2 linked regions of the Coturnix japonica genome follow. The protein of the gene in region 1 binds, or shares a complex with, the protein of each later gene. Links are inferred from orthologs where the notes say so. Each region holds a gene or a part of one and is shown on either strand. Other genes may lie near its edges.

Region 1 (3,816 bases):
GTGGTATATACCACATCTGTCCTGTAGCGTGATTGTTAAACAGATCCATTTTATTCCCTGGTAATAGAAATGGGTCGGTGAGCAGGGTGATGGTGGGTACACAGTTGGACTGGATGATCTTGGTGGTCTTTTCCAACTTTAATGAATCTATGAATCTGTTGTGTGTTTTTGGAGGGACCAACATACGAGGTGGTTGTACTTGCCTGTCAGGGAATTTCCCCTTTGAGAAGTAAATTGTTCACCACAGTAAAACACAAAGTTCTCAAGATGGACGGAAGGTGCATTAACTGCATCTGAGACATGGCATGGAGGTATCACCCACATAGAGGTGTTATTTTATAAAAGCTGAGATACAGGGATGTCCAGACTCAGAAGCACAAGCTCTGCTTGCTGTGCATGCAGAGGCAAACACATCTGCTCTGAAGTTCATGATGATTGCAGGTGAGTGAAACTGAAAGGTCGTCCTGTGACTGCACCCTCGGCTGAGCTGTGACTGTACATAATATATGGTGCCCGTGTTGGTAGTTAGGATTGTGAAAGGTATCTGTTGTTGTTTTTATAACAGAGGACATGGGTTGGCAGTCACATGACTTACAGAAGGAATTTGAAATTGTTGAATCATCTATTTCACACGTCCTGGAGAAAGCTTCTGCCTGAGCCTTGTTTGCTTGAGAAAGCCTTGTTTGCTTCTGCAACGTGCTTGTTTGCTTAAGAAGGAATTTAATTCCTCCAGAACTTTGATATTAGGTTATCAGGCAATATTTTCCAGGAGAAAATACCTGATACATTAAGTGACTTTTCTGATACTCTCACTGGATTGCATGGGTGTGAGAATTCACTGGCAGATGAGGACCATCCCTGCACAATGGAGGTACTCTATGGGACTTACTGCTTCCACGCTCCAGGTGATAACGCTGTTGCAAGCTAGTTGTATCTTAGTTGTTAGGGCACCTGTGGGTAACATGGAAGACTATTTCAGGGTGCAGGTATGGATGAGGGAGGAGTGCTGACTTTGTTGCTTGCAATCAGAAGGACTTTGGCTTTTGACCTTGCTGTAGTTTCTCGGGATCTGTTTCCTTACCAAGTTGTACATTTTAATTGAGCACTGGTGCTTCAAGTCCTCGTTTTTTTTCTTTAAAAATGAATGCTAAGGCAGAAAGCTTCTATTTCTTAGAATATTGCCACTTTGCCAGTGAACCTTTCAAAGTCATTGATCTGAAAAGGTAATGTTTTCAACACATTTCAGTACATTTGATAAGAAGTATAAAATGCAATAAAATTTGATTACAGTACTGGTTTGCTTTATCAGCTTTATGGTAAATCTGTGTAAGAATGTGAAATTGTGTTTGATCTTTAAGCTACCAAATCCAGTAAGTAACACAAGATCTTAAATAGTTTTGCTTTTTAGAGTAAAGTTTGTAATTTGCAGAAGCTTTATTAAGCGAACTCTGAAGTTCTCAGAGTTCTGGGAGCCTTGTGGGTTTACATGTGCTCTCCCAGCTTAGCTGTGGTCTATGGGAATTCAGGTGCTCCAGACCTGGGGGATCACTGTTTGAATCCATGGGTGCAGGATCCAGAAACACATGGTGGAATCTTCCTAGTGGAAATCTCTGTCTGATTGCTTGATTATTTTTCATTAAAGTGACTTTTTAAAAATAGTTACATCTAATTATTTTTACATTGCAAATCTATAACTGAAACTTCTGCCATCAAATGAATTGGAATTATCACAGTCTAAAATTTCTGATTAAAATAAATAGAGAGAAAAACATTTCTCCGGCTGACAAGTATAAGGAGTGGCAAGCAAAAAGAAAGAAAAGGAAAGAACACGTACTAGAGCTTGTAATTCAGTCATCTTAGGGTATGGCTGTTCTTACTAACAGCTGCTATAATGTGCTCTGGGTCATAATGTGTAATAGCTGCACTATGTGTCAAGTGCAGTGATTTTGTGCTGCATATTGATGAATTCTGTGCTGCATATATCAATGCTTTTAAGAAGTTTAAAAGTAAAAGAAACAATAAAAAAACCCATTCTAGTCATCTGGATTGTATTTGTAATCTTGCCAAAAGGTACCATGTATTTTTATAATTAGCTTCATCTGACATCAGCAGAAAGGAATGCTTGGTTCTTTAACATGTCTCTTGTTCTTTCTTTCCATGTCCTTAATTCTGTTTCCTTTTCTTTTTCTTTTCTCTTGTCTTCCTTATTCATGTCTTCTTTTCTATTTTCATTCCAGATTCATTTCTTTTACACTTCCCCAGTAGTTTCTCTTTTCAGACTAAGGCGTCTCTATTTACATCATCTTTATACCTTTCATTATGGAGTCAGTTTAACTTAGCAGGTGTAACTCTAATAACACTTGTGGTGTTTTTTCTTAACTGTAGATGCTTCGAGAGCACAAGTCTATTATTATTCAGAAGCATGTAAGAGGCTGGCTGGCTCGAGTGCACTACCATAGGACCTTGAAGGCAATTATTTACTTGCAATGCTGTTACCGGCGCATGATGGCCAAGAGAGAACTGAAGAAACTGAAGATAGAAGCTCGGTCTGTGGAACGCTACAAGAAGCTTCACATTGGCTTGGAGAACAAGATCATGCAGCTGCAGCGGAAAATTGATGAACAGGTAAAGCTCTGGGAAAACACTTGGCAGTCTTGTATTTTCTTCTGTAGCACTGTGGGCATTCATTGCAAATCTCTTCTCTGCTGAAGAATGCTGATAGAAGAGAAAGGCAGACAGCATTTGAACTGAAATTATAAAACATCTGTTTGTATCTCTCAGAAGCACTGAGAGAAAGCATCTGCTCCTTGAATTTCAGTCTTTCATTGGAAGCACCCCAGTTGCTCAGTTGAAGGGGAACTTGAGATGATTGAGTTTGGTGTTAGTGGGTTCTTTGTTTGATTTTAGTTCAGTACATTATTATGTAAACTTAAAGACTGGACTGTTCTGTCACCCCTTTAAGCAATTCTCCTGCAGAAACAGAATGAAAAGGAGAGAATTGCTCTCTTGTTCCCCTGTCTTGGTATATTCTGTAAGCAATCAGAAAGCTTCCTTAAACCAGAACTTCTCCAACTGCCTCGATGTCTCCTTTGTGTTTTGCAAAGAATAAAGAGTACAAATCTCTGCTGGAGAAGATGAATAACCTGGAGAACACATACAGTACAGAGACAGAGAAGCTTCGAAGTGATGTGGAGAGGCTTCGGATGAGTGAGGAGGAGGCTAAGAATGCAACCAACCGTGTTCTCAGCCTTCAGGAGGAGATTGCCAAGCTCCGGAAGGAGCTGCAGCAGACTCAGACTGAGAAGAAGACAATTGAAGAATGGGCAGACAAATACAAACATGAAACTGAGCAGGTAAGGATGTAGTCCCAGGTACATGAGCAGATGTACAGATGCCTGGTGTCCACTCACGTTTTGGCCAGACTTAACTGCTTTGGTTGTATGTCTGATACTTGAACAGTATTTTTAATTAGTGTTACAGCTGTACAACAGTAAATAGGCCTGATATCTAAATAATTGCACCTGTGCTTGAAGAATATGGTAAATTTATATACTGTGTATAAATACATATACTCAGTCTAGTCAGATTTTTATATTTAAAGAATTTGCCAATCTGAGTACCTAAGCTTACTCAATTAGTGCAAGATAGCACATCGTACCAAGAAATCATTTTACCTACCTAGAGAGTACACTTGTATAGATGTCTGAAATCAGTTCCATACACCATATTCAAAGAGTACCTCCTTACATCTTGTCTAATGTAAATAATTAGGCTGCTGAGCTCACGTATATATGGGCACTCTAGTTCAACAGGTTT
Region 2 (3,816 bases), on another chromosome or scaffold:
CATATTCCCCAGCAGGGCCATAAGCATGAAACGGGGAGGTCAAGGTGAGACAGATGACACGGGGATTATGCAGCTTAGCTCCCAAGCAGAGAGACGTCCAGCCTTCTGCATTGCAGTGACACTCATTGCAATGACACTGTTGCAAAGGCAACAAATACCGTAATAGTGAGTGAGAGATGACTGCAGTGACGTGCAGGTGGAGGAGTTTGGGTTAAAGGCTGTGTCAGTGCCTATTTTTACAGCAGCCTGCCTTGCGGTTTGTTTGAGAGATTTCTGAGGGCATCTCATGAGAAAACCCTGTGACATTCTGACATAAGTGATCTGCAGTTATCAGAACTGAGTTCAGAGCACATCCAGAAGTGGGGAGCACAAAGCCTGATGAAACACAGCACCATCTCCATGACCAAATCCAGACCTGGGTCTGGAATTCACGTAATCATCAGTTGGTTTCTATGCAAGTCCCATCCAGTTGGGAAAAAAGGCTTCTAATGGGGGAGCGCTCAGATAAAAGCGACGTTTGTGGTGTGAAACATGAAACTCTGCTGTACCATGAGGGCACCATAAAGTGATAAGAGTGTCAGCTGGGCCGAGTTAGCTGGTTCTTCGCAGAGTGGCTTGCCTGGAAATACGTGCAGTGGTAAACAAAACTGTTTGTCTTTGTCTCCAGTGCACATATCACCCCAATCTCCTTGGTTTCTAGGGAATTATCAGCTGAGAGAGGGATGATGAGTTTCTTGGGTCTATTTTTATGAGTACTTTATGACTTACCTAGCAAAAAGGCTAACGCGGGCAGCACTTAGAGGCATCACAGCTGTTTGCGCTCCTTGAGGTGGGAGGGGAAGGATATCAGCCCCAGGCTCTGGCAGCAGGGCAATGTTACACTTCTTACACGCTTTTCCAGTGTGGTGACACAACTGGCTGACCTGGCAGGAGAAAGGGGTAAGAGCATCATCCCATATTCAGGTTGGAAAAGATCTCTAAGATCAACAAACCCAGCCTGCCCCACCATGCCCACTGACCACGTCCTTCCCTGCCACATCTCCATGGATCAGGAATTCCCCAGGGATGATGACCCCACCACTCCCTGGGCAGCCACGTTTTCAGCCCCACTGGAGAGCCCTTAAGCCCTTCTGTTATCCGTTCTCCATCTTCCACTGGCTCCCCTAGGCCTGATGCCCCTCCATGCCTACTTGTACTGAGTTGTACACTAGAAGTGCACATTATGAAATAATTAAATACTCTTTTTTTTTCCCTCACCCCTTCCTTTACTTTGACTGGGCATTCACAGAGGTCCTCAGCTCAGGCTTTGAGTGAGATCACGGCCAAAGCACTGAGAGCCATAAATGCCACGGAGAAAGCGGTCTCTGAGTCACTGCAAGGACAGAGCTGGGGCAGTGGTGGCGGTGCCTTGCATCTCAGCATGGAGGATGGGAAAGAGGCAGCTGAAGCATACCGTGAGCTTGAGGAAAATGTAAGGTTCCCCAGAGTCTCTGTGAGCAGGGAGGGATTTGAGGGTGGGATTTCAGTGGACCCCCTCTAAGCCGCTTGTTAGTAGGTGTGCTGGAGGTCAAAGGATGAGCACTACAGGCATATACGTATAAGGATGCTGCGACCCTCCCAGCTACGAAGCTGTGGGTTGTGAAGCTCAGGGTAGAATTTAGGGGAAGGAAATGTTTCTGTTTGCCTCTAAAGGACTAACTGAGGGTTGACACACTCTGATTTTCTTATATGCCTCAAACAGTAGGTTATTTGTAGTACATAGACACAGAGGTCCTCCTAGCTAAGTGCTGTAGCTGGAGATCTGAGCTTGGGCATCACACCTGTGCTCCAATAGCCATGCCTTCTGTCATCCCCACTATCCCATCCCATGATTCTGAGCCCCTCCTGCTGTCCAAGTGAGCCGTGCTCCTTCCTTTGGGGTCTGACTGGTGCAAGAGCAACATTGGGCTTCCTGCTTCTTCTGCTCACTGGAACTGTGTGCTCATCCCACTGTTCCCTCGGGTCCCTGGTGAGTCAGGTCCCACTGCTTGCACTCTAAGGAATGCCACTGGCCTTGAGGATGTTTAATGATGCTCAATGGCCTGGCAGCAAACAGTGCCTTTGTGACTCACAGACTGAATGTCAGTGCTTGGTTATGGATATGCTGCCTCAGGGTTTTCTTTGGGGTCAGTGGGAACCTGTAGGACATGAGATGTGGGTGCTCAGCATGCCAGCAGATAGGGCTGGAGGAGCTGGCTGTGCATTAGCAGTACTGAGATTTTGGGATCGTTCAGCACAACTGTGGCCTTCTGATGTTATTGTATAGACAAATTAACTTCTTCTAAATTACTTTGCTTGGACTTGCATTCATGTAGTAGCCAAGGGGCAGTAATTGCACTTGAGTAACACATCTCCTCCCTAGCTTGCTGCCAATGGGGCACGCAGAGACAAAGAGCCCTGCCAGAACTGAGCAGTGCTGCCAGGGCTGCAGGGTGGGAAGGCAGTCATAGCAGCATAGCAGCAGGAGAGGAGTGAATAGAAAGCTTAATGGTGTGATCTATTATTTTTTTTTCCCCTTTTTATATCAGGTCTACCTGGCCGCTGGGAAGGCCTACCAGCTGGAGACAACCTTGACAGAGCTTGAGGAGGGGGCTCAGCACTGTGGCAGGACCGACTCAGAGCTGTCGGAGCTGGAGGACAAGGTGGCCTTGGCGGCTGCACAGGTACAGCAGGCAGAGCGTGAGGTAAGGGCTGACCAGGAGCTGCTTCACCTCCATCCCAGTGAACACAGCTTGTTGGGAGTCTTCCACATGCTGCCCACCTGTTCTGTTTTCCTCCCTCTAAAGGTATCAGATATTGAATCTCGGATCGCAGCTCTGTCCGCTGCGGGGCTGACAGTGAAGCCGGTGGAAAAGACAAGGAAGAAATCAAATGGGCAGGTGAGTGGGGAGGATGGGGGTTGTGAGCACAGGAAGGGCTGCCTGCCTGCTCCCAGCTGCTTCCTGGCTGCTCTGAACCTCACTGAGGATGACATGGGAGGCTGCTTTGGGGTGGAGCAAGCCCAGAGACCTGTGCCCCTTTTCTGTCTGCAGGCCTTCCACATCTGCTCCCCCAATCCCACCAGCAGCCCCGGGGAGTCTTCGGATGATGTTAAGGTGGGTACATGTTAAGCATGTGTTTGATAAGCCTTAGTTCCATGTTCCAGGACACAGGTTTGAATGCTTAGCACAAGCAGCAGTGCATCCTTTGGAGGTACCTGTGTCCTCCCACTCATTCACTGCTTTCCCTCTCTTGCAGGCAATGTCTGGGCCACAGGTCCTCAGGAGGAGGTTCAACTGTCCCTTTGAAATCACTGGTAAGAGCCATGGCTCTGTCTGTGGGAAGACCTTGGCTCATGAGGTGCTTGTGAGCACCCCCTATTTTCTCCCTTTTTGGAATGCTGTTCCCTGTGCTTGTGTCCTGCCAGTAGAGCCTTATCTGTAGTGGAGGATCAGGGACAGCGCTGGGGACAGGATGAGGTGGCTCCCATACAGGTCTTGGTGGTAGACAACTGCCTGTCACATGGGCCATTGCTCTGCATTGTGGGCTTCTATCACCTTAGTGGCTCTGCCTTCAAAACTAGCCCTCAACACCCTACCTAAGACCATTGCTTCTTGCTTTAGCCATTTCTTCTCACTTGGTTGCCCTGGGGAGCGTATCCTTTGCCCTGCTATCTGCCTACCTCTGCTACTGGTCCTACTGCAAGGTCAAGAGCCAAGCCATGGAAAATGACAGCTTGGAATTGCTTGAAAGTAGGCCGTGACCTGAAACTCAGCCCAGCAGCCCATGTGGCAGAGG

Evidence for each region.
Region 2: the proteins of MYO5A (region 1) and MLPH are in contact, whole or in part, in a crystal structure (PDB 4KP3), measured with the Mus musculus proteins. The link is inferred for Coturnix japonica from reciprocal best matches to the Homo sapiens genes MYO5A and MLPH. Residues at the interface, in NP_034994.2 of Mus musculus: Asp1524, Val1527, Arg1528, Leu1531, Thr1532, Ile1535, Asn1536, Lys1539, Ser1570, Gly1571, Leu1588, Thr1589, Asn1590, Phe1591, Asp1592, Leu1593, Ala1594, Glu1595, Tyr1596, Val1599; in NP_443748.2 of Mus musculus: Lys184, Lys186, Arg187, Leu188, Leu189, Ser190, Phe191, Arg192, Asp195, Phe196, Glu197.

The regions. Positions count from the first base shown.
Region 1 is NC_029525.1:7,693,882-7,697,697, forward strand, and holds part of MYO5A (unconventional myosin-Va), read left to right. Parts: intron 1-2,385; coding exon 2,386-2,625; intron 2,626-3,104; coding exon 3,105-3,353; intron 3,354-3,816. UniProt on the Homo sapiens protein: Processive actin-based motor that can move in large steps approximating the 36-nm pseudo-repeat of the actin filament. Can hydrolyze ATP in the presence of actin, which is essential for its function as a motor protein. Involved in melanosome transport.
Region 2 is NC_029522.1:8,696,534-8,700,349, reverse strand, and holds part of MLPH (melanophilin), read left to right. Parts: intron 1-1,288; coding exon 1,289-1,471; intron 1,472-2,567; coding exon 2,568-2,918; intron 2,919-3,071; coding exon 3,072-3,134; intron 3,135-3,276; coding exon 3,277-3,334; intron 3,335-3,816. UniProt on the Homo sapiens protein: Rab effector protein involved in melanosome transport. Serves as link between melanosome-bound RAB27A and the motor protein MYO5A.